Linked DNA regions of Struthio camelus. The protein of the gene in region 3 interacts with the protein of the main gene of each other region in a biochemical or structural test. Links are inferred from orthologs where the notes say so. Each region holds a gene or a part of one and is shown on either strand. Other genes may lie near its edges. The genes, in order: RNF146, AXIN1 and TNKS.

The links.
Region 1: the proteins of TNKS (region 3) and RNF146 form a complex in vitro, tested with the Homo sapiens proteins (3 studies listed by BioGRID and IntAct, with this or other methods). The link is inferred for Struthio camelus from reciprocal best matches to the Homo sapiens genes TNKS and RNF146.
Region 2: the proteins of TNKS (region 3) and AXIN1 form a complex in vitro, tested with the Homo sapiens proteins (2 studies listed by BioGRID). The link is inferred for Struthio camelus from reciprocal best matches to the Homo sapiens genes TNKS and AXIN1.

What each region holds. Positions count from the first base shown.
Region 1 is NC_090944.1:69,253,450-69,261,107, forward strand, and holds the start of RNF146 (E3 ubiquitin-protein ligase RNF146), read left to right. Parts: upstream 1-4,387; 5' UTR 4,388-4,555; intron 4,556-4,978; exon of another isoform or gene 4,979-5,180; intron 5,181-7,658. UniProt on the Homo sapiens protein: E3 ubiquitin-protein ligase that specifically binds poly-ADP-ribosylated (PARsylated) proteins and mediates their ubiquitination and subsequent degradation. May regulate many important biological processes, such as cell survival and DNA damage response.
Region 2 is NC_090956.1:19,077,361-19,085,106, reverse strand, and holds the start of AXIN1 (axin-1), read left to right. Parts: upstream 1-4,611; 5' UTR 4,612-4,697; intron 4,698-6,985; exon of another isoform or gene 6,986-6,988; 5' UTR 6,989-7,079; coding exon 7,080-7,746. UniProt on the Homo sapiens protein: Component of the beta-catenin destruction complex required for regulating CTNNB1 levels through phosphorylation and ubiquitination, and modulating Wnt-signaling.
Region 3 is NC_090945.1:3,094,541-3,101,981, forward strand, and holds the start of TNKS (poly [ADP-ribose] polymerase tankyrase-1), read left to right. Parts: upstream 1-3,914; 5' UTR 3,915-3,948; coding exon 3,949-4,456; intron 4,457-7,441. Other genes in the region: MFHAS1 (malignant fibrous histiocytoma-amplified sequence 1), read right to left, coding at 1-2,326.

The DNA.
Region 1 (7,658 bases), on a different chromosome or scaffold from region 3:
ACTATACTTCCAATTTTTCTGTCTCCTTAAAGACTTGTATGTTCTACTGAGAGCTCACGCACAGGTCTGATATATAAAGTTTGGGGACTATGCTAACTTTCCAACAAGTGGTGGATGCTTTAAAGAGTTTCAGTAGAGAATTCCTCTTTTTAAATATCACCCTGAGCTACAGGCCTCACTAGTGTGCAATTTCCCAGGAAACATCAGTGCAGAACCACTCAGCAAGTTTTGCTATTGATTACAATAGGATCAGGGCTTGGAGTACAACAACTACTAGCTTTAATCGTCAGCTAGGAGTCTGATCAGTGCCCTAGCTGGATCAGGAGAGACAGCAGCACCTCTGTGCTCTACCAAAAGTGTTTTGATGAGCTTAGCTTCCCAGCAGTTACCATATACCATCTAGTGATACCAAAGGAAACCATAATTTGTAATTCATTAATCTTTAAATGAAACATATAGTAGGCATTTTGCATTCCTTTTACTAAAATAAAAGGTAGTCATATGTGCTATCTCCTATGACTAATATTTTCCATTTCTCAAGAATCTTGACATGTATTAGTTTTTGAAAGGATTCAGCTTCTGAAGATGTACGATTATATAAGAATATCAGCTTTAATTAAAGTTAAAACAAAGTTTCTGCCTTATAGCTAGAGAATTACATACAAAATTATAATCTTAGAGATGTAAAACTCAGGGACTAAATTTAAAGAAACCCAAAACCTAACCTTACTATTTTTTAAAACTTCAAGATTTTGAACATCCTGCATCATGTTTTTTTTAAATATTAAGTTAATAGTGTCTGTTGATGGGGAGGAAGTCAGAGAGAGAGAGAGAGAGAGAGAGAGAGAGAGAGATGATTCTGACAGCTGGGATAACGGCAGAAGACAATGTTATGCTATGTGGAATTTTGCTGCCACTAAATGAAAGCAAAACCATCAAGATTTTTTCCTGGGAATTTGCAGACAGAAAGGGTACTGATCCAATGAAAGCCACAGACCAAAAGAACTGAGGAACACAATTCACCCTCACCTCTTCTCTTTTCCCAGTTCTCCTCCTCAGCACTATTCAACTTTCTATTTGTAAAGCCAAATGGGATTTTCAGCACAGACCTAAACAGCACAGACCTCCGAAAACTGTTACACAGAAGTGTATTTGGCACTGGTTGCTACATATCTAGGTTATGTAAGCAAAATACAGACATTACATGAAGTACACTAGTTGGATTTTCATAGGCCGATTGTCGCCTTAACACTTTGTTTTCAACCTACAAATAGTGACTAGAAATCAGTTTAGCTACAACTCAGCAAGACTGTAAGTGTAGATGGATGAGGCAGACATGAATTTGCATAGTTTCAGTCAAAGTGAAAAACTACTTGTAAACCCAAGACTATACTTTGGACTCGTGTTGATCAACCTACAAGTCTGCCAGGCCCTTTTGCACATCACCAGAACTGCAATTGCAATTCAAAGCAAATGTAATTTTGTCTCACTGATAGCATCTTGGGCACTGCTTTTACACCATTTGCCAGTGAATGCTCTAGAGGGCCAGGACTGTCAGGTGCCAGGGCGAGCAAATGACAGCGATAGTCTAATATTGGCTTCACACAAGAGAATTCTCTGCCTAGCTGAACTGGCTGTGGGCCACTTTGTACTGTAAGCATGCTTAAAACTTGTAGGACAAGGGACAAGCTTGTGTCACTGGCTGTAAAAACTAAATATATAATTAAAAAATATTCTAGAAATTGTCCATGTATTAGTCAATCTTCAATGCCACGAAAAATAAAAAAAAAAAAATCACCTTAATGAAAATGCTAATGTAACATGGGGATTCCGTGTTAGGCAATAGCTTAGAGGAAAGGAAAGCACCGAGTGATAAGCAATAGCAGTTCATAAAGCAAATACGTTATTTAAACAAGACCAGGATTCGCTTTTAATGTAATGACAGATTCGGAGCTCAGTCTTCTACCCCTCCGCTGGCTGCTAGCGCAAAACAGCCAAAAGTACGTTTGGACCTCAGTGGCACATTGCCAACTTTACATCTTTCTCTGTTCAGCACAGAGGGTGCGTTGAAGGTGCAGAAATGCGGAATGGGGGGAATGACACCACACATCATACGCTCCTTCACTGCTAGTGCAACTTGGAGCAGTTCTGAGGTTCTCCTCACTAACTCCCAAATCACAGCAGAAGGAAACTGTTTTCTCCTGTCTCTCCTAAACTGTGGAAGTGCAGTGAGGATTGAGACCTTAGTGACTATAACACATTGTCATATCAGCAATTCTATACAGTATCACATACTTTTGAAGAAGCTGGAAAAATACTGGATAAATAGAGACACTGAAACACTGAAATATGGATCAACAGTTGTCCATTGTCAAAGTATCTTCAAAAAATTAGTGGTGGAACCTTAGAAATTTAACAGGGGAAGTGGTGTCTTTTAAGGATTAGTCTGCTCAGCCTTTACTTTTCCATCCACTGTACTCATAAATAATTTAGTGGCAAGCACCAGACATCAATTCCAGATTGATTACATTGTAGATAACGGCAAAAAAAAAAAAAAAAAAAAAAGAGAGAGTGCAGAACTGCAAAGCAAGCAGAAGCAGACAGATATAGCTGAGGTGGTTTCAGTTATAACAGACAGGTATAAACTAATACATGGTTGGAAAAACATCTTTGGAATACATGGGATGTTTTCATGCCAAAAGCAGTAGTACAGAAAAAGACGGGCAAAAAATACATATTCTGACTGAAATAGAAGTCAATAATAGCAATTGATAATAGCGCAGGTAAAATTTTAGGAGGGATAATCTTAACAGATCTTAAGCAGATCATTTTTGATCCCCTTATTCCAATCTATTCAACTAGGTACTTTTGTTTATCTCTTTAGGCCAGCAGCATGTAATGCACTTAACTCTTTGGTTACTGCCTTTGGCACAACGTGATATTTACTTTAACTACTATGCTTGCTCCATAATTCATGCAGCATAAAGTAAAATTTTGCATTCATTAGTGCACTTTCTCAAATTGACCTGCAGCTGCAGTAAGCTGTCATGAACCTATCAAAACGCACCTATGGATTTTCTTTTTTAAAAGTACAGTTTTCCGAGATGCTTCTTCTCTTATGAACCTGAATGCAATGAGAGTAGCTTTGCTTCAACTCTTTAGATCCCTTAAGAATCCAGACTTACTTTCCTTTTTTAGGTCAGATTCCAATTGAAACCAATGGGAATTTGACCTCAGTAACTTCAACAGGATCAAGGTCTGGCTAGTCAAAGGATTAAGCCTATTGTTGCTGAACAAACTCACTGCCAAAAGGTTTTATTTTCTTTTTTTTTAAACCTCTATTATTTGACTCAGCCTCACAAGGTCCTCCTTAAATAGCAGTACAGGTTGCCACATAAACGTGTCCTTGAATACAATTATGTCACTTCTGTTAAATGCAGTGCTAATTATAGACTCCTAAGAGTTTGGTGGTTTAAAAAATACACTTTTTTTTAGTATTCCAGATTAAATTTAGAATTTAATACTCTTAGATTTTTGATCTTTGTTATGTTCTCTGGTGTCTGTGACTTCTGGGAGTTGAAGTATCATCCAAAACCGCAGCCAAACACCACTTCCAGGTGTTCTACCAAGCTCTGACTACCTAAGTTCCCGCATTTTGTCAGTTCTGCCTCCGCGCGCAGCGACTGCTTTGACACACAGCCCCTGATCCCCTCAAAACGAATACCGTTCCAACTTAAAGGACGTGTGGATTATCTCCTCTCACCAAGGTTCAGTTGCTTGCTGCGGGCAACAATTCCTGAGGGATTATTTTTGCAGGCCAGCCCCTCGCACTTAGGCCCGGGCCAGGCCACAGAGGAGCACCCACCCGCGTCTAGCAGGTCCCGTGCTACCTGCCGCAGACCCTCGCCGCAGAGCAGCCGGCCCACGGCCCAGGGCGCTGCCTGCGGCGCAAATCCTGGGCCACTCGAGGCTGTGACTCGGCCACGCTGCCCGACCCCTGGTATTTCTGGGCAAACGAGCCGCACGGGCCGAGCTCACGGCCCGGGGAAGGCCAGCCGGCCCCTGCCCCGTCGGCTCCTTGGCCTCCCCGGCGAGCACAGCGCCCGCTCAGAGGGGCCTTCGGGTCCCACAACCCTGCACCAGCCCCTCCGCTCCCGCGTCTCCCCCGCTGCCGCGCCCCAGCCGCGACCCTCGGGCCTGCCGAGCGCACCGGGCCCGCACCTGCCCCGCCGGGCCCACCGGGCGCGGCCCCTGCCCAGGCCGGGGGCGGCGCGGCCGCCGCTGCCATGGCACCGCCGCGGGGGCGGGGCGGCGCCACGGCGTGGCGTCACGGGAGCGCGCCGCGCGTCCCCCCCCCCCCGCCTCACCGGGGCGCGCGGCGCGGCCCCTCCCCCCGCGGCGTCACAGTGGCGCGTTCGGCGCTTCCCTCTCTCCCCCCCCCCCCCGCGCGTGACGTCGGCGCGTCCCGCTCGCCCGGCGGCGGGGGCCGGAGGAGGCGGCAGGTGACGGCGGCGGCGCCTGGGAGCGGGCTGAGCGGCGCGAGCCGGCCCGGCGGGTGAGTCCGTGGCGGCGCCGCCGCGTTCCGACGCCAACGGCCGCGAGCGCGGAGGGAGGGGGAGCAACGGTCGCTCCGCCAGCCCCCCTCGCCCCGCGGCCGACCGCCCGGGGCGGGGGGCGGCGCTGCTCCCTCCTCCGCCGGCGGCTCTCCCCGCTCCGGCGAGGGAAAGGGCGGGCGGGGGGCGGACGTCGCGGCCTGCCCGCTTCCGTCGGCGGGCGGGCGCCGCCGCTGGACAAAAGGCCCGAGAGCGCGGCGGCGGCGCGGGGCCGGGGAGGGGGGGACCCGGCGGCGCTGAGGAGCCGGCCCCGCCCGCGGGGGAGGGGCGGCGGGCACGCCCGGGCCCGGGCCTGTGTTATTGTTTGGGCGAGAGCAGGAGCAGCGTCCGCCGCCTGCCCCCGCCCGCCGCCGGCGCGTCACGTGAGGGGTGTTTTGGGCCGCGGTGGCGCAGGGTGTCCAGAGCGGCCTCGTCCGCCCTGCCCGAGCCGGGCCTTGCGGCGGCGGCGGCGGCCGGCCGGGACACCGCGCGGATCCGCCTCCGCGCGGCAGACGGCGGCGCGCTGCGAGGAGCCGGGAGGTGGCCCCGCTGGGCGCCGCCGGGCTCGCCCCACCTGCTGCCCGTGCTGTAAGTCCCCGCCGTGTCCCCTAAGCCGCCGCTTCGCCGGGCTCTGGCGGCGAGCGGGGGGCCTCGTCCGGCGGACGCTTTTTGGCCTTAACTTTGCCCTCAGGGAGATGACAGTCTTAAATCTGTGTAAAATGAAGTGCTTGATGTGTGCAGCATCAGGGCCTCAATTCCCGGGTTTCATTTTGTTCAGTAACAAAATAGGTCAGGAACGCGCGCTCTAACTTTACGTGTTGCAGAATCCCTCGACCAGAAGAGCCATGTGTGGTGTTTTAAATAAATCTGTGGCATGTGTTCTCACTCTTCTTGCAAAATGTCTTTGCTCTAGCCGGGTTACTTTCATTACCGTAATGAGCTTTGTGAAACTAGAATAGAAATCATATGAATATTCTTAGGAGTACAGTAGGAAGCACATAAAAAGAGGTATGCAGTGGTTTTTAATGGAAGTGCTTTTGTTTCTTTGTGCTTGATGGTCTGGGCTCTCGTATTTGATTGCATCCTTTTAGAGTGTTTAAATGGGACATGAAAATAGGTCCAGCTCTTGCTGCAATACATATTGCCACCACTGAAGAATTATTACAAAATATTTTGTAAATAAGAGTTTTCATACAAACAGAGTAGCAGTGCGCATCAGAATGGTCGAAAACGTGGAATTTCACAATTAAAATAAAACCCGATAAAAGTTTGTGCGTGTGTGTCTCAGGATAACCCTTGTGTTATATGGACTAGAAATACTGTAGGATTTGTTATTGGTATTTGTAGTATGCAAGTATACATAGAAGAATTACAAGCAGGAGTAGGGAGTAGAGCTTTAAACTGTCTTGATCGTCAGATTTGTAATACTAAAAATACAGTCCTTCTGCATTGTTAGCTGCTCCCTGTGTTCTCAGTGGACTAACTAATTGTGTTTTTAGAGACACTTTCAGGACTAGTTTTATCAAAAACGAACTGTTGTAATAGTATTGAGTATGTAGTGAAGTCTGAATTTTGATTCAGTTGTTTCGAGTAATCTTAAATACTGAACTTTTGCAGAAACTTGCTTTATTGTCTTGTATGGTTAATATTGTGGTTCCTTTCCAGCTGAATTAAAGCACCAGTTTAAATTGCTGTAATGCAGAATTTGTGCTAAGTGAAAGAAAAAGTTGTGTTCTTTTTGTTTCCCTAAAAATATTCTGCATCAATTTAGATGTAATTGAATTGTCATTTACTTAGAGAGATGGAACTGCAGTATTTTTAAAGACTATTAAACAATGAACTCCTGTAATTGGTGGGGAAAACGTCTTTTTATTAGAATTGATTTCTGCCCCCCCCCCGCATGTTAATTGAGTCTAAAGCTGTTCTTGTACTTGCCTTCTGTTCCTGAAGCATCGATCAATTGAGACAAACCTATTTCTGCTTGGTTTTCATACAGGAATTTTGATACAATATCATTTTATTTCTGAGTGGAATCTATTAGATATATTGAAATATAATATATGATCAAAATTCAGAATCAGTGTTCCCGTTGCAGCATAGCAGGAGGAATTCATTTGGAATAAATACATGGCAATTTCATACCAAAACAGTTGACTGTTCTGCACTTTGATTTTTTTTTTTTTGTGATTCAGTTCCAAATGCGTATATAAGGTTTTTAATTAGCAGATCACAGGCTCCTTAAAATCTCATCTCATCAGTAATTCCTGAAGATTTTCTTTGACTAAGTTTCCGCAGATACAAAAAAGTGACTGGCCATGAATAGGAAACAGTGAGGTGGTTTATCTGTTGTGCTATCAAATGCCCAGTGACAGATAAAAAAAAAAAAAAATCTGATAGGCTCAGGAGCTTGAGCTGATAGTATATCGACAGTAACAGATTTTCAGATAGGAGGATGATTTCCCTTTTAGAAAACAACCATGTTTTTTCTTTCCTTCCACAGTATTTGTGTGGCTTGTGGTGACTTGTAAGGAGGAGGGCAGTATTCTGTGATATTCTTCCCCTGCTGTGCCCCCTGCCCCCTTGACATGTGAGTTAGGGAGCTTGCTGAAAATTTGAAGTGGTTATTTGCAGCAGCTTCTTTACTTTTCTGAAATAATGGTGCCGCTATTGAGTTTTCAAACTATGGGGAAAAGCGATGAATTTGTGATAACTACTGCAGAATCATCTGTACGATGTTGCTGATTTTATGAAGTCGTCTATCATTTGCTATAGGATTTAAATAACTGTCTTTGGCAAGCAAGAAGCTAGTTTTGTTTCACTTTACCAATATGTGCATTTTGGGTTTTTTAGAGGAGAAGGGGCTAGCTTATTTAAATAGAGCTAAGCTTTTATTTACAGAGAAAGTTTCTTGCTCTTTTTTAGGTCTGTAGATAACATTACATTTTCATTTAGAAGTTTGCTTCTTAAATATGAAAGTTTCCGGTTTTTATTGTTGTTTTTTCCTGTCACTCTAGTTTCCAAAGTAATAGAAAAGAGAAAAAAATGTCTTGGGTCTGCTTGTTTACT
Region 2 (7,746 bases), on a different chromosome or scaffold from region 3:
CTGCCAGGCAAGGCACCCGCTGTTTACAGGGGTACGAGACTCCTCACAGTGAAGGGAAATCGCTGGCTGTTGGGCTTTGGAGTGCAACTGATTCCTGCTTGTCACGGCGTAGCGCATGCAGAAAGCAGCCTGCAGGCTTTCTTCCAAAGAAACAGCTGCAAAGGCTGTAGCAAGAGCTCTGGTGCAATGGAAGAGCGCGTCTGAGCACGCAGCACTGATTGTATGTGATGGAGAGGAAAGCGCTGCATCTGCTGTCTGCATCCAAAACTGGGGCCTTCATCAGAACAGGGCAGAGCTGGCTGCGGTTTCTAGGGACATGAGGACTGAGAGTGTGTAGCAGTCCTGAACGGGACCTGGTGGCAAAAGGTTTGGTAGCAAGTGTGAAAGTTGTTCTTGCCCAGCAACAAGCCTTCCACATGGCCATAACCTCCAGGGCTCTGCCTGCCCCTTCTTCTGTGAAGTGTGAGTAAAACCTCGTGCCTGCCCTGCAGCTGCAGTCAGTGCCTCAGAGAAGTACACTGGAGGAGTCAGCAAGCCATCCCCAGCAGGGATGGTAGAAGTCCCCAGATAGGGGGGAAACGTGGCTGGGAGGTGACTGGTGCAGAGCACATTCCTGCCAGATGGTGCTGTGGGGGTCACTGGCCATCCCCGTGCCATCCTCTGGCAGTAAATCAGCATCTGAGGATAAGGATAGTCAGAAAACAGGTACCTCACCTCCACCCCACGCAGCCCAGCCACGTGTCCTGTAGGTCGCATGGATGCAGCACCCGGCCGGCTCCAATGCCACTCCCCCTCTGGGGCTTGAACTGTCAGCCTCTGGCCAACAAAGTCCTGCCAGCATTTCTCTTGCTCCTCCCAGGTCCAGCCAGGCCCCGAGGAGCAGTAAGCAGTGGAGGCTACTGGGAGGGATGCCAGGAGCTCCAGGGCACGCGAGGGCCCAGCGTGCATGCTGAGTCCAGGTACCTCAGCCACGTGCACCCTGCTCTACCCAACCTTGTCACCCCCCGCTCGCCACTCTCTGCCCTCCTACCCCTTGCCTTTGGGAGTCTCTCCCAGTGACTTGCATGGAGAAACCTGGATTTGATTTCTCACGTGAACTCAGCTCTGGCCAGGAATTCTTGCTGGGCCTTTCTCCGAGAGACGAAAAGCCCTCTAATACCTGATAGTCTCTCACCCATGAAGCTGCTTCAGCACTGTAATCGGGGCACCTCTTAGGCTCCTTTGAACTAGCTAAAGAGGCTGCATTTCTCAGGCATCTCAGTGCAAAATGTTTTCTCTAGAGACTGGGATCCTGTCTAACTCTTCTCTGCCTGTGCTCTAATTTTTCAGCATCCTTTCTCAAACGCAGACACTGGAACAGGGCGAGTTTTGGGTTCCCATCTTACCAGTGTCCTAGACACCTAACACCATCCTGCTCCTCACCACTCCCCCACTTCTACATCCCAGGCTGGCTTGACCCCTTCTGCTGTAGCATCAACCCCCCATCTCGGTCAGGACTTCCCAAGGGGCGGCTACCCCGGCTCCTACACTTTCATCCGGTGCACAGATGTCTCTGAAACTCTTTTCTGAATCGTTCCTTTCCAAAGTGCAGTTTTCCGTTAGAAGCAGCAGCCTGCATTCTGTGCTCCTAAGAGGTATCATTTTGCATCTGTCCACATTCAAGCACACTTTATTTGCCTGCACTCAGCTCATGAAGTTTTCTACAGCTGGCTTGACCTCGTCGGTGTCTCCTGCCCCTCTCGTTTTCCTGGCTCCTGCATTTTTCTCAGCAGGGCTTTTTAATCTATTTCTAGACCATTGAGGAAAATGCTGAATAGCATTGGGCTTCACATCAAACTCTGCGGACACCCACTGAGAATGCTCCCATTCTGCAAGGATTCCCCATTGATGGCTGTCGGTTTGCCAGTTCCCAGTCCCTTTAAGGTGTCTCTCTTGATGTTGTATTGTGCTAATTTTTAATCAGAATACTATATGGATTAAGTCACATGCCTGAACAGAGTCCAGGTCTATTATTCCTGTGCCATAACCTTTATCAGCCGAACTTGTAATCTCTTCAAAGGATGACATCAGAGTTTGACAAGAGCTATTTTCCAGAAACTAGGCTGATTGCATTAATTATATTCCATCCTTTAATTCTTTACCAGCTGAATCCCACATCAGCTTTCCCATTATTATGCCTAGGTCAGTGTTGCACTGTTACATGTAAATCAGCTACTAGCATCATTCACATGAAAGAGCACAAGGAACGGCACCCTTCTGCCGGGCTCTCCTGCAGGGTAGGGAAGGGGAATACCCCCGGCTGCGGTACATTTTGGTGCGTTTCAGAACGCTGAAAAACACGTTGTACGTTCCAGAAAGCGTCCCCTGAAATGCATGAGCACCAAACACAAATGTGAGCAAGTGCTGAACGTACAGGTACACACAGCAGAATAATGCTGATTTTAATCAGCAGCTGATCCTTATCGGAAATCTTTTTGAGCCGCTTCTGGTTTCCAGAGGACTGTCTCGTGGCTTGTTTGCTTGTTTAGCTACCGGGATCACAGTGAGGGGTCTGCCTGACTCTGACTGTCTGTTCACTTTCCAGGGAAGAAACAGGCTTCGGATTTCCCTGTAGTAGGAGTTCCCTGAATTCTTGTTCAGTCTTTGCACGTGGTAGTCCCCTTCTTTTTCTTTTTGCAGCGTCACCCAGCCCTCCCACACATGAAAGCCTTACAGTCTAGGTGTTGGGGTATCCCTTCCAGCCAAGGGCTTTCTCTAATCAACCATTTCTGGGTAAGGCACCATCCCCTCCACCTTTTCTCAGGAAGAGTCTCCATGTTGTTTCACCTATTTCAGTCTATACAGTGCCACCTCTTGGTGAGTTCACTTATTTATGCTAGCTGCAGAATTGCGGGGTTCCTCAGAGAAACAGGAGACGCACGAGCAGTTTTGAAATCAGCTCTAGTTGTTTGGCCGGGCGAGAGCCACCCGCAGAGCAGTTATCTGCACTCCTCTATCCCTTGGCCCACAAACGCAGGTCTCTTCTAGGAAGACCTCAAATAAAAATTAACCATTAAATCCCACTGCCTAGCAGAAGAGGCCTAGGAGTAGTGTGGAGCCAGCCTTGAGGATCACTGCCCTTTCCTTTCCAAGATGAAGAGAGATCTTTTGTGGGATGTAGCTGCGCAGCAGAACAGCAGGTCTCTGAAACACGAGTCTCTCCTGGGCTGTGTTCTGGTCAGGATGCTTTAAAGAGCTCTCCTGGGCTTATTTTGTCCAGAAAAGCAGAAGAAAAAGGAGGTGTAATTCCATGCTCCTTTCCCACCTCCGGAGCTGCTCAGCCTTTGAGTAAGGCAGCAGTTCAGTTAGGTTCTCCTAGGCTTTCCCAAGGCAGCAGAGCCCATGGGCATGCCAGAGTCCCGGACCCCTCTCAGCTACCCACAGCGGGCAGAAGTTACGCACTGAGGCGTGCGTGATCCCCGAGGTCACCCTAGAGGCGCGGGCTGCTCTTGGTCTGGGATATCCAGAGGGCAAACCGCCCCACTGACCGTGTCAGCCTGTGTTCACGTGGGCCGTTCCCCAGCTGGGCCTTTGAGGTCTCCCACGCTTCCGCAGTCCCCGTCTCGCCCCCGAAGCAGCGTGGCCACAGGGCCTCAAGGAGCGCCGACCCTCGCGGCAGCTCAGCAGGGCTCACGAGGCCAAACCGCGGGGCCGCACCAGGCACGCCGGCCTCCCTTGTGCCAGCGTCCTTGTCCCCTTGAGCGCTGACGGGCGCCCAGATCACGTGCCCTCCTCTTACGGAAAGGTGCCGGGCGCTTCTCCTTGGATGCCTGCCGCTGGTCCCCGGAAACGACCGCGTGGTCGCTGCGGCTGGGTCTGCGGTGGCGGGGCCGGCGGGTCGCTAGGTCCCGCACCCGCCAGGCGACAGAAGGGACAGCAGGGCTCGGGGCCGGCGGGTCGCTAGGGCCTGGGCGACGGCGAGGCTCGGGGACGGCGGGCCACCAGGCCCCGCACGCGGCCCGGGCGACGGCGGGGACGGCGCGGCCGGTGCCCGGCGGGTGGCCAGGCCCCAGGCGCGCTCCGGGGAGGGAGCTCCGCGCCTCGCGTGCTGCCCGGTAGCGCGGTGGGCTGCGCGCCCGGGCGGCGGCCCCGCTCCCCCGCCGCGGCCGGCCCTGGCTCGGCCTCGCCGGGAGACGGCGGGCAGCAGCGCGGCCCTGTCACGGGCCCCCGCGGGGCCTGCGCCGGGGGCGGCCGCGGGCAGGCGGCGGGGCCGGGGCCGGGCGGCCTCGGGCGCGCTGCGGCCCCGGCGGCGGCGGCGGCGGCGGCGGCGGCGGCGGCGCCTCCCCCCGCGCCCGGCCGGGCCCGCCCCGCCCCCGCGCCCGCCCCCGCCTCCGCGGCCGGGCGGCGGAGCGCGGCGCGGGCTGGCGGCGCGGGCCCGGCCCGCAGTACCGGGCGGGGGCGCGGGGGGCGCGGCTGAGCCGCTCTCTCCCGGCGCTGCGAGGCAGCGGCGCAGGCGGAGCGGTGCGGGGCTCGCTGCTCTCCGTGTCGCCGCCAGAGCCAGCGGCCGCGGCCATGGGCGTCCCGGGCCGCCCGCTTTGTGCCGCCGCCGCCGCCCCGCCGCCGCCGCCGCCGCCGCCCGCCGCCCCGGGCCGCCGCCGCCGCTGCTGAGCCGCATGGGCCGGGCCCCGCGCTGCCGCCGCCGCCGCTGCTCCGTGCGGGTGAGTGAGCGGAGGGGAGGCGGCCCCGAGCCCAGGCCCTGCGCCGAGGCCGCGCCGGGAGGCCGCCGCCGAGCCGGCGCTAGGCCGCCAGGGCGCGGGGGGCGGGCGCTGCTGCCGGCGGCCGCGGGGCCGGGCCGGGCCGGGCCGCGCGGGGCGGGAGCGGGAGCGGGAGCGGCGGCGGGGGCGCGGGCCGCCCGGGCGGGCAGGCCGGCCCCGCCGCTCGCCTGCCCCGAAGTTGCCCGGCGGCGGCCGGTGCCGCGCTGCGGGGCGGGTTCGCACCGGGCCGCTCGGGGCAGAGCCCTGTCAGCCTCGGAGCTTGAATCCCGGCCCGCGGCGAGCGGCTCGCTGCCCACGGGCGGGCTGAGCCGCGCGCGAGCCGCCGGCAGCCCCCGAGCGGGGCAACTTGGGGCGGGGGCGGCGGGATCAAGGCGGCCGGGGGGCGCCGGCTCGCTCCTCCCCCCCCCCCGCCCGCCCGCCGCGCACGTCGGGGCCGAGCCGCGGGCCCGGCGGCTGCAACGCGAGAATCGCGCTGCGCCCCGGGGGCAGCGGCCGGGGCCCGGCGGCCGCCTCGTCCGCCGCGGCGGCCGCTCCCCGCCCGGCCCCGACGGGGGGGCGAGGGCCAGCGATGGAGCCGCCCTCGCAACACAATGACCAAAATGGCTCGTGCGCCCGTCCCCGAGCGGGGCTCTGCGGCCCTGGCGGCCGGGGCACCCTCCTGGGCGAGAGCGGCGCGACCGCGGCGCTCGCCGCCTCGGACCCCGGGCGAAGATCGCGGCGAAACGCGCCACGCAAAGCAGCCGCCCGGCTCGCCGGTGCCCGCCCGTCCGTCCCGCGCGCCTCGGGCCCGGGTGCGAGGAGCGGTGGCCGCTCTTGGCGCTGCCGCCCGTTTCCATGGGTCTGCTGGGTCCTGGGTGATTTTGCTGGGTTTCGGTGACGCGCCGGTTGGCTGTAAGGACAGCCCGCCGTGGCGGCTCGTAGGTGGTGTTTTTCAGCTCGGCCGAGGAGAGGAACCGGGGGAGACAAAAACGGCCACGCATCCAAAAGATGCGTTCATATGGGTGGGGTGAGCTCGGAGAGAGAGGCTGAGTTGAAGCGCGTCTTCCCTGCTATGTTTGCACGTGCGATTGAGTGAATGCAGTGCAAGGAGCAGTTTGGCAGGCAGCTGGAGCTTTGCAGTACGCGAGGGCTTCGAGGCTGACGGCGTTCTGCACAACAAAACTTCTGCTGCTGCCTTTAAATAATTAAGTGACTTTGCCTAGCCGCGAAAGTAGCTGTCCAGGGATCGTCCTCCTCTGCTTTTCCCTCCTTCCCCGCACCTTCCATCCTCCATCTTGACTTGTTACTCTTCTTTAAAAACGTCACGACTGATCAGGTTGCCTTCTTGAGATGCTTTTCCCATCTTCGTTTGATGACCTGAAGTTTTCCCAGGCTTACAGCACGCGATGTTTGTTAGCTTAAATGAACCCTTGCTACCTGGCCTCTCTCTGTGAAGCGCAGTGCCAGAACTGAAATCCTGTAGTAACATGCCCGTTACATGCAAGAATGTAGTTCAGATGCCCAAAATATTGGGGTCATTGGTGCGTTTGGATTCCCCTAGCACTAGATAAGACCGTGCAGCGCGCCTCTAAAAGGCAAGAATTTCGGGGGAATTTCACATTTCACATGTCACCTGATTGTATGGGCAGCCACCTGCGCTTGGCCAAGTTGTGGGCTCACTTTCAGTACTGATTGGATATTCTTTCAGAGTATTTTTCCCAGGCCTTAAACTCCTGCTTGGGGAATGAGGAAGTACTAAATCTGTAGGCAGATAAAAGCATATTACCTTGGTGTGACTTACTACATCTGCTAGTTAGACTTACTCTATTTAATCTGCAGGTAAAGTTAGTGTCCGGTTTAGGAGGCTGCATGTGTCCTTTTTCTGCGTGCGGGCTGTTTGCCAGTTGGTGCTCCAAGCGTAGATCTCTTGGAAACGGGGACTGCCAAATCCCGGAGTCCTGTAAAACCACCTGTATTTTGAAGTTGGCTGCTCTTAGTGTAGTACCGGCTGTATCATTTATCCTGAATGCTGGAACTAAAGTTTTGGAATGATCTTTAACAGTTATTTCTACAGGTAGGAAGGGAGTACCTGCTTTGGTCCCGATTTTGCTCTCTCTGAAATGGCTCAGAGCTTTGCCATTGGCTTTATTAAATCTTCTTTTTCAGCACAGTAGTGCAAAGCAAAATTAGTGGTCTGTAAGCTTAGAGTGTTTGTTTGCAGTAATACTTGATTTTTTTCTCATCTATTTCAGCAGAACAAAGGTGTTCACATTGGAGCTACAAACATTGGTGTTTTGAGATTTCAGCTCTTCTCCTACGGTTCCTGTGCGAGCAAGTGCCATAAAAATGAACGTCCAAGGGAAAGGCTTCCCTTTGGACCTCGGAGGAAGCTTCACTGAAGATGCTCCGAGGCCACCAGTTCCTGGTGAGGAAGGTGAACTCGTGTCCACAGATCCAAGGCCAATTAGCCATGGTTTCTACTCCAGTAAAAGTGATGTCGTTAGAAATGAGATGTCCACAGCAACACCAAGGCGCTCGGATTTGGATTTGGGGTATGAGCCAGAGGGGAGCGCTTCGCCAACTCCACCCTACTTGAAATGGGCCGAGTCGCTGCATTCCTTGCTGGATGATCAAGACGGTATCAATCTCTTCAGGACTTTCCTGAAACAGGAGGACTGTGCAGATCTGCTGGACTTCTGGTTTGCCTGCAGCGGCTTCAGGAAGCTGGAGCCCTGCATGTCTAACGAGGAAAAAAGACTCAAACTGGCAAAAGCCATTTACAAAAAATACATCCTCGACAACAATGGAATTGTGTCCCGGCAGATCAAACCAGCCACAAAAAGCTTCATAAAAGACTGTGTCATGAAACTACAGATTGACCCCGACATGTTTGACCAGGCCCAAACTGAGATTCAGTGCATGATAGAAGACAATACCTACCCTTTATTCCTTAAGTCGGATATTTATTTGGAATACACAAGGACAGGTGGGGAAAGTCCAAAAATTTATAGCG
Region 3 (7,441 bases):
CCGCCTGCAAGCCCAGCCGGGCAGAGTCCCACCAGCTGAGCCACAGCTGCTGAGCCTGCGGCTGGAAATGCAGCTCCTCCAGCACTTGCCAGGATTTGGGCAACACTCGGTGCAGGTTTGGGAAGATGTCCCGGTGCTCGGCCACTGAGAGGAGTTTGTCCCGCAAGCGACGCACCTGGCAACGGTCCCGGCAGCTGAAGGGCAGCACCGGGGAGAGAATCTGTGGGCGGTGGTTCAGAAGATACTGAAACTGGGCTTTCTTCCGCCGCAAGTTCTTGTCCGAGACCCCGTAGAAGGTGGCGTGCGGGCTGGAGCAGCGCAGGTCAAAGTCCTGTCCCAGAGCCTCATCCACCTGCTGGACCAAGCTCTGGAGTCCCTCAGCATCCCGTTTCTCCTGCAGAGCAATCTGGTGATGGATGTCCAGGCACTTCTCCTCCAGCTCCCGCTCGGCGCAGAGGTCGGCATGGGTTCCCACCATGCACACCACAGCATGGGGCACCTTAGAACCAAGCCAGTGCAAGAAGTAGCCCACAGAGCGGTAGAAGTGCTGAGGGACGTAGGCACTCAAATTCACTACCAGCACATACAAGGCCCCGGGGGAGAGGAAGAAAGATTGGATCACATCGTAGCTCGGGTCCCCCGCTAGCTCATACACAATGAATGTCAGACCCCTCTCAGCATCCGCTGTCCAGTCCATCACCTCAATGCCCTTGCTGCCTCCTGGCAGTCCCGCTCCTGATGGCGCTTGGAAGGCGTCCGGTGGCAGTGATGGCGCCGGGCACAGTGTTTCCCCCTGCACTCTGCGAGAAGGCGCATGGGGGACATCCCGCCGCTCAACAGGGAGCTGCTCCAGCTGCTGCATGGCAGGTACCCGCGTTGAGGAGGTGTCCGGAGGCTGCGGGAAGGGGCAGCACCCAACCGGCACTCTACCAGCATCTCGCTGCTGACCAGGGTAGCCTCTGGGCTGGGCACTCCCTGACTCCGGACCTCCCGCGTCCTCCCTCTGCCTGTCCTCCTCCATGAGGCACCGTCTCAGCAAGGTCTTGCCCGCATCCTTCAGGCCCATGAGGACCAGCTTGAGGCGGGGCTTGAGGGCAGGCTGGGAGTTGGCCAGCTCCTGCTGGTAGGCCGCGATGTAAGGGATGCCCTTCATGCACACCTCATACGGGGGCTGGATGAGGGGGTTGTCCTTGATCTTCCACAGGGTGACGCGGGACAGTTGCCCAAAGCCCTCGGGCAGGATGGCGATCTGGTTGCCTTGCAGCACCAGCTCCTCCAGGCTGTGGAGGAGCACGATGGAGTCAGGCAGGTAGCGGATGCGGTTGTTGTCCAGCCAGAGGGTGCGGAGCTGGCGGAGCTGACAGAGGCCAGGGGGCAGCAGGGTGAGCTGGTTGCGGCTCAGGTAGAGCTCCTCCAGGCCGGGCAGGGCCAGCACGGCGGCAGGGAACTCCCCCAAAAGGTTGGAGGAGAGGTTCAGCATCTTGAGGCGCTGCAGGCTGCCAAAGCCGGCGGGCAGAGCCCGCAGCCGGTTGCCGTCCAGCATGAGGCTCTCGAGGGCACCCAGCTGGCAGAGGCCCTCGGGCAGGGTCGCCAGCCCGGTGCCGCTCAGCCAGAGGATCTTGAGATGGCGGAGGGCGGCGATGCCCTCGGGCAGAGCCCCGAGGTGGCGGTTGCCGGAGCAGTCGAGCTCCTCGAGGGCGGCCAGCTCCAGCAGCGGGGCAGGGAAGGCGGGCAGCAGGTTGTGGTCGACGTCGAGGGTGCGGAGGTGCCGCAGGCGGCCCAGCCCCTCGGGCAGGCGGCGCAGGCGGTTGAAGCTGAGGTCGAGCTCCTCGAGGCGGCCCAGCTCGGCCAGGCGCGGCGGCAGGCCGGGCCCCTCGGCGCCCAGCTCGTTGTGGCTGAGGCTGAGCTTGCGCAGGCCCCGCAGCCCCGCCAGCGCCGCGCCGTCGCCCAGGCCCCGCAGCCGGTTGTGGCTGAGGTCCAGCTCGGCCAGGCGGCCCAGGTGGCGCAGGGCGGCGGCGGGCAGGCGGCGCAGCCGGTTGCGCCGCAGGCTCAGCGCCCGCAGCCCGCCCAGGGCGGCGCCCACCTCCTCGGGCAGCTCCTCCAGCCCGCGCCCGCTCAGGTTCAGCGCCTCCAGCTCGCCCAGCGCTGCCGCCGCCGCGGCGGGAGGGGGGCGGGCGGCGGGAGGAGGCGGCGGCCCCCCCGGCGGCCCCGCGTCCGGCTCGGGCTCGGGCTCGCCGCCGCCGCCGCCGCGCAGCTTCCGCGCGAGCAGGGCGGCGGCACCGCCGCGCCACGGCCGCGCCGCCTCCGCCGGCTCCGTCTGCGCCATGGCCGCGCCGCGCCCTGCCCTACCTGCCGCCGCCGCTCGCCATGGGCGCGGCGCCGCCGCCGCCGCCGCGGCGGGCTGCGGGCTCCCGCCGCGCCGCTGCCGGCCGCGCACGTAGCCGCCGCCGCCGGGGGCGGGGCCCCGCCGCGCTCTCGCTCCGCCCCTCTCCCGCCCTCGCCCCGCCTCCTTCTCGCCCCGCCTCCTTCTCGCCCCGCCCCCTTCTCGCCCCGCCCACCCCGCCCCCTTCTCGCCCCGCCCACCCCGCCCCCTTCTCGCCCCGCCCCCTCCCGGCCCCGCTTTCTCCGGGCCGGGCTTGTGCTTGAGCGACGGGTCGGTGCTGGTGCAAGCGGTGCCGGAGCCCGAAAACGTTCGGGGATCACCCCAGACCCTTCCCCTCGTTCTCAGCAGCTGAAGCGAAGGCTGTCAAACGGCCAAGAGTGCGTGGCATTGGGGCAGGGGGGGAAAAAGGAGGGAAGAAACGGATCCCATTGCTGCGGATTGCGTTATACACCCAGAATTGCGCTCGGAGTTACTAATTTTAGATGATGGCCCTGCAAAGGCCTGTTGACGGGGTTTTTAATTATTCATCTGAAGCCTGAGGTTCCCTCGCTTTACTGAGCCAGGCAGCTGCATTAGTAATAAGATTTCTATCTGCAGCGCAGCCCTCCGGGGGCCGGAGAAAGACCTCGAGTTACCAAAGGTGGTGTAAAGCCCGATTCTGGGCTTTGCTTGCTGAAAGCCCCCGCCCGCTATTCCCGTACCACTTCAGACCTGCTCGTTACTCAGAGGACCTCCCAGGCCCTAACGAGCCCAGAGCTCATGAGGTCTTTGCCAAGTACTCACTCTCCAGGCCGCTAGTTGGTTTCTCTTTGGAAGGCGGCTTTGGGGTAGGGGACGAGGAGGACTGACTCGTTCTGCTCAAAATCTCAGACCAAACGTCTTTTCGACAGCAATGCTGGATTCCCGCCCTGCTGCCCAGGTGGGAATGTGTCAGGCTGGATCCTCCAGCCCTTGGCGGGGGGGGAGCATGCAAGGCGCAGGCATGCCAGGGCTGAGGGTGAACGTGCAAGGGGTCAAGGCTGGGGGTGAGTGTGCAAGGAGTCAAGGCCTGGATGAGTGTGCGAGGCGCAGGCATGCCAGGACTGGAGGTGAATGTGCAAGGGGTCAAGGCTGGGGGTGCGCAAGGAAGCAGGTGGGCCAGGGCTGGGGGTGAGTGTGCAAGGGTCAAGGCCTGGATGAGCGTGCAAGAAGTCAAGGTTGGGGGTGAGTGTGCGAAGAGGCAGGTGGGCCAGGGCTGGGCAATGTGCGAGGGCCGCGCGTGCAGCGGGGGGGGGAGGGGGGCGCGCGCAGCCAGGCACCCCCCCCCCCTTCGCCCCCCGGCGGCGCGTGCCGGCAGCCGCGCGCCCCGAGCTGCTCGGAAGGCGGGCGCTAGCCGCGGCCCCGGCAGGGGGTGGAGCCCGCGAAAGCCCCGCCCCGCCCCAGCACCCCTGTCGTCACGTCCGGGCGCCGCCCGCGGGGATTGGCTGGGGGGGGGGGCGGAAGCGTGGGCGGGCGTTGCCGCCGTTGCCGCAGTGACGAGGGCTGAGAGGGAGGCGGGGAGGGGGGCGGTAGAGGAAGGGCGAAAAATGGCGGCGCCGCGTCGCTCCCAGCACCACCATCACCACCACCACCTGCCGCCGCCGCCTGGGCCGGCCTCGCCGCCGGCCGCCGCCGCCTCGCCGCCGCGCAGCCCTAGCTTGGCGCCCGCCGAGCTCGCCCCCGCCGCGCAGCGGCACAGCCTGGCCGGCCCTGAGGGCGAGGCGCCCTCCGAGGCCGAGCGGCCTCCAGCCCCGGAGAGCGCGGAGGGCGCGGGCGCCGCCGCCGCCCCGGGCCCGCCGCCGGGCTCGGCCAGCAGCTCCGGCAGCTCGTCGTCGTCCTCCTCCTCCTCGTCGGCGTCGTCGTCGGCCGCGTCGAGCCCGGCGGTGGAGAGCCCCGAGGCGGCGGGCCTGGGGGCGGCGAGTGGCGCCTTCCGCGAGCTGCTGGAGGCCTGCCGCAATGGGGACGTGACGCGCGTGAAGCGCCTGGTGGACACGGGCAACGTGAACGCCAAAGACATGGCGGGCCGCAAGTCCACGCCGCTCCACTTCGCTGCCGGTGAGTGCCGGGGCCGCTGGGCGAGGCGAGGGCGCCGGGGTCGGCCCGGCCTCCCGTTCCCGGCGGAGCAGGGAGAGCCGGTGCCTCGGCGTCCTGCACCGGCGCCTCCCGCGGCCCCTCTCGCACCCACCTGCTGGGTGGGCGCAGCAGGGAGCGCATCTCCAGCGTCCCGGGGGGTCGCGGGGGCGCAAGCTCGTTCCTGGGAGAGGAGGAGCGCGAGGGCGCTTTTCCTGGTGCCGTTTCACTAATGCTGGGTGCGGGAGTAGATGGCTGTTAAACCCCTCTCTCTCCTTCTCCCCCGTCCCCAAAACGGGCAGAGGATCATCCCTTTGGGTGAGAAGAGGGGGAAAGGAGAGCCTGTGGGGGCATGAGGGAAGCCGTATAATCTAAAAGTACTAAAATAACTCCCTGTATTGGCCCCACAAGTTGCTGACTTCAGCATGTGGGCTTAGCAAGTGAGCAACTGATGTCACTATGTTTCTGGAACTCAGGGCAGAGTTGGTTTGGATTTAAGGTTTTCACTTGTATTGCAGTAGCTCTTGAAAGTCAAGGAACCCTGTGATGCAGGTAGGCTTACTAGGAATCAAAGTCAATGCATTTTTGTGTTTTGACTGGTGTGTGTGTGTGTGTGTTTTTTGGTTTTGCTTTTTTTCCTGTTATCTCAGTGTAGCTACGGATTGATCTCTGCCTCTGTTGTGGTTTGAGCGGGCTGGGGAAAGAGGTGAAGTGGAACAGCTGAACTCAGTGGGAGGTTACAGCTGTGTCCAGGAGACAATATGCCTCTCAGTGTGGGGAAGAGATGATATTGTGACCAGAAATAGTCACTGTCATAAAATAAGTCAAAAGTGAGATTCAGTGACTGACCTCAATTGCAAATGAACATTGTCTCCTACCAAGCATAGCTACTACCCCTTAGTATAGTCTATAAAGAGAGCGTTTTGTGGGGGGCTGGCCATGGCTAGAGGCACAGGGGGAGTGAAGCCCGTGATAACAGTAAAATGGGGAAAATAGTTGAAGTCAGGACTTGCACGGTTGCTAGGTCCGTGGTCAGATTGAAGTCTTTCTGACAAATGCCACAATGATACAGATTGCCTTGATACCATCCAGCGGGGCACGGATCTTGTCTGAGCTTGTAAGTAGGCCAGTGGCTATGGGATGCCCTGACCTACTCCTGCTGATGTGCCATGCTTACTGGCCTGCTCCTGGCTGACAGAGTGGTTGCTATTTTAATTTTCCTGACTTGGCACCACAAGCTGGAGCTCTTTAATATTGACAGTAGAGTTCTGGATCCCGTTCTACAACTCGGAACATGCTCCAGTAACCCTTGTCAGATAAGCAGCACAATAGCCAATATGAAAGAGAAACAGAAGTTGCTGAAGCCTTTACTCAGGCTTTATTCTATGTTCAATATTTGAATGCTGGTGTATGGCTCTAAAGCACCACATGGAAATCAGTTACAAAAATAAGCATTTATCTGACACAGCGTTGCTTGGGACTCCAGGTAGTGCTGTTCAGTTTATCTCTGTGTTTGTGTAGGTCTGTTGTCATTTCCAAAGTCAAAGTGGCATCTCGTGGTGGCTCTATGGGAAGTACTGGTCTTGAGCCATTTGCATCTCCTCTAATCCCTGAGCTCTACCAATAAATACTGAAATGTGCAGGCCTACTTAATTTCAGTGAGCCCTGGGAGGTGATGCTGGCACAACTGCATGCATGTGCACAAAGTGCTTAATGTTTTGGAGGCCTCATCTCACATCAGCTCACTTTGGATTCCAGCTTAAAATTAGACCCCGCTTCTTACCCTTAAGTGCTAAAATTTCAAGTTATAACTTCAGTGGTAGACTAGTACAAACTGTAGTGCTGGTCCTGTAGTGGTACAATATTAATTTCACTTAAAACCTGAACTTTGGTTAGAGAAGGAGCTGACAAAACCTAAGGCTTTGAAAGGCAAGAGTGTTGGTGCGATTTTACTGTAATAGCAATGGAAGATGCTTCCTTGTAGCATGAGGAACACAGCAGGTGAATTTCTTATACCTAATAAGACTGTTTGTTCTCTATTTTTGTAGATTTAAAGACTTTCCTTAGCTGCCAAGCGTATTCTCTCAGAAATTAATGAAGCATGTATCTGACTGAAATGAGTTTGACATCTAATAGCATTAGATAGATTTCTTATTAGAGAAAGACTGAGGTCCTAAATTTTGAAAAGGCCTGTAAACAAGTTTGAATGCAGCTGGTCTTAGGCAGTATGTAGTTGCAAGTGATGCAATACATTGATAGGATCTCCTTCCCCTTTGTGGACAAAAGGAGAAATAAAACCCCTTTGCTTACAAGCATAGGAGTCTGCTATGTGTATTAAGCAGTGTTATGTGTAATAGCACAATTTTATGAGTCATAGCTAACTTTACAAATTGTTTGGCCCCTCTTATAAGAGGAACAGGAGTTGAAGAATGCAGTGTGCCAATGTTTTAGAGTTTAACTGTTTCTCTCACGTCTCTTGAAGCTTCAACTTTTTTAAGGGAACAGCAGAGAGAGTTTCACTTCTGTTCTTGTGGTTTGTAATAGAGGAATTCTTCTAATCGCAGGCAAAGCTTCATTTTTCTAATTGTTGAGGTAGTCAGATTCAGTTTTTTTTCCTGGGTACTTCACTTTTCCCTTGCTCAGTTCTGTTTTCTCAGATATCCTTTTTGGCAGCAATGCCAGGCAGTTAATTCACTTTTCATGTAACAGGGGCGAGAGGGAGGACAACTTCAGTTCTTTCTTATAAAGAGTACTAAGTTCATGTTTCCTTAAACTTTATGAAGTTTCTCGTTTCAAAGTCACCTTTATCTCCTTTCTCGTAGTAGAAGGAAGATAAAAGGAGTGACTTCTGAGAGTATGCAAGTTTCTTACTACACATGTAAACTTGGGATAAGGAGAGAACTGAAGTCTCCGTAATCAATTACTTAAAAAGCTGGGGATAGATTAAAGTCTATTTCTAGAAGTTGGAGT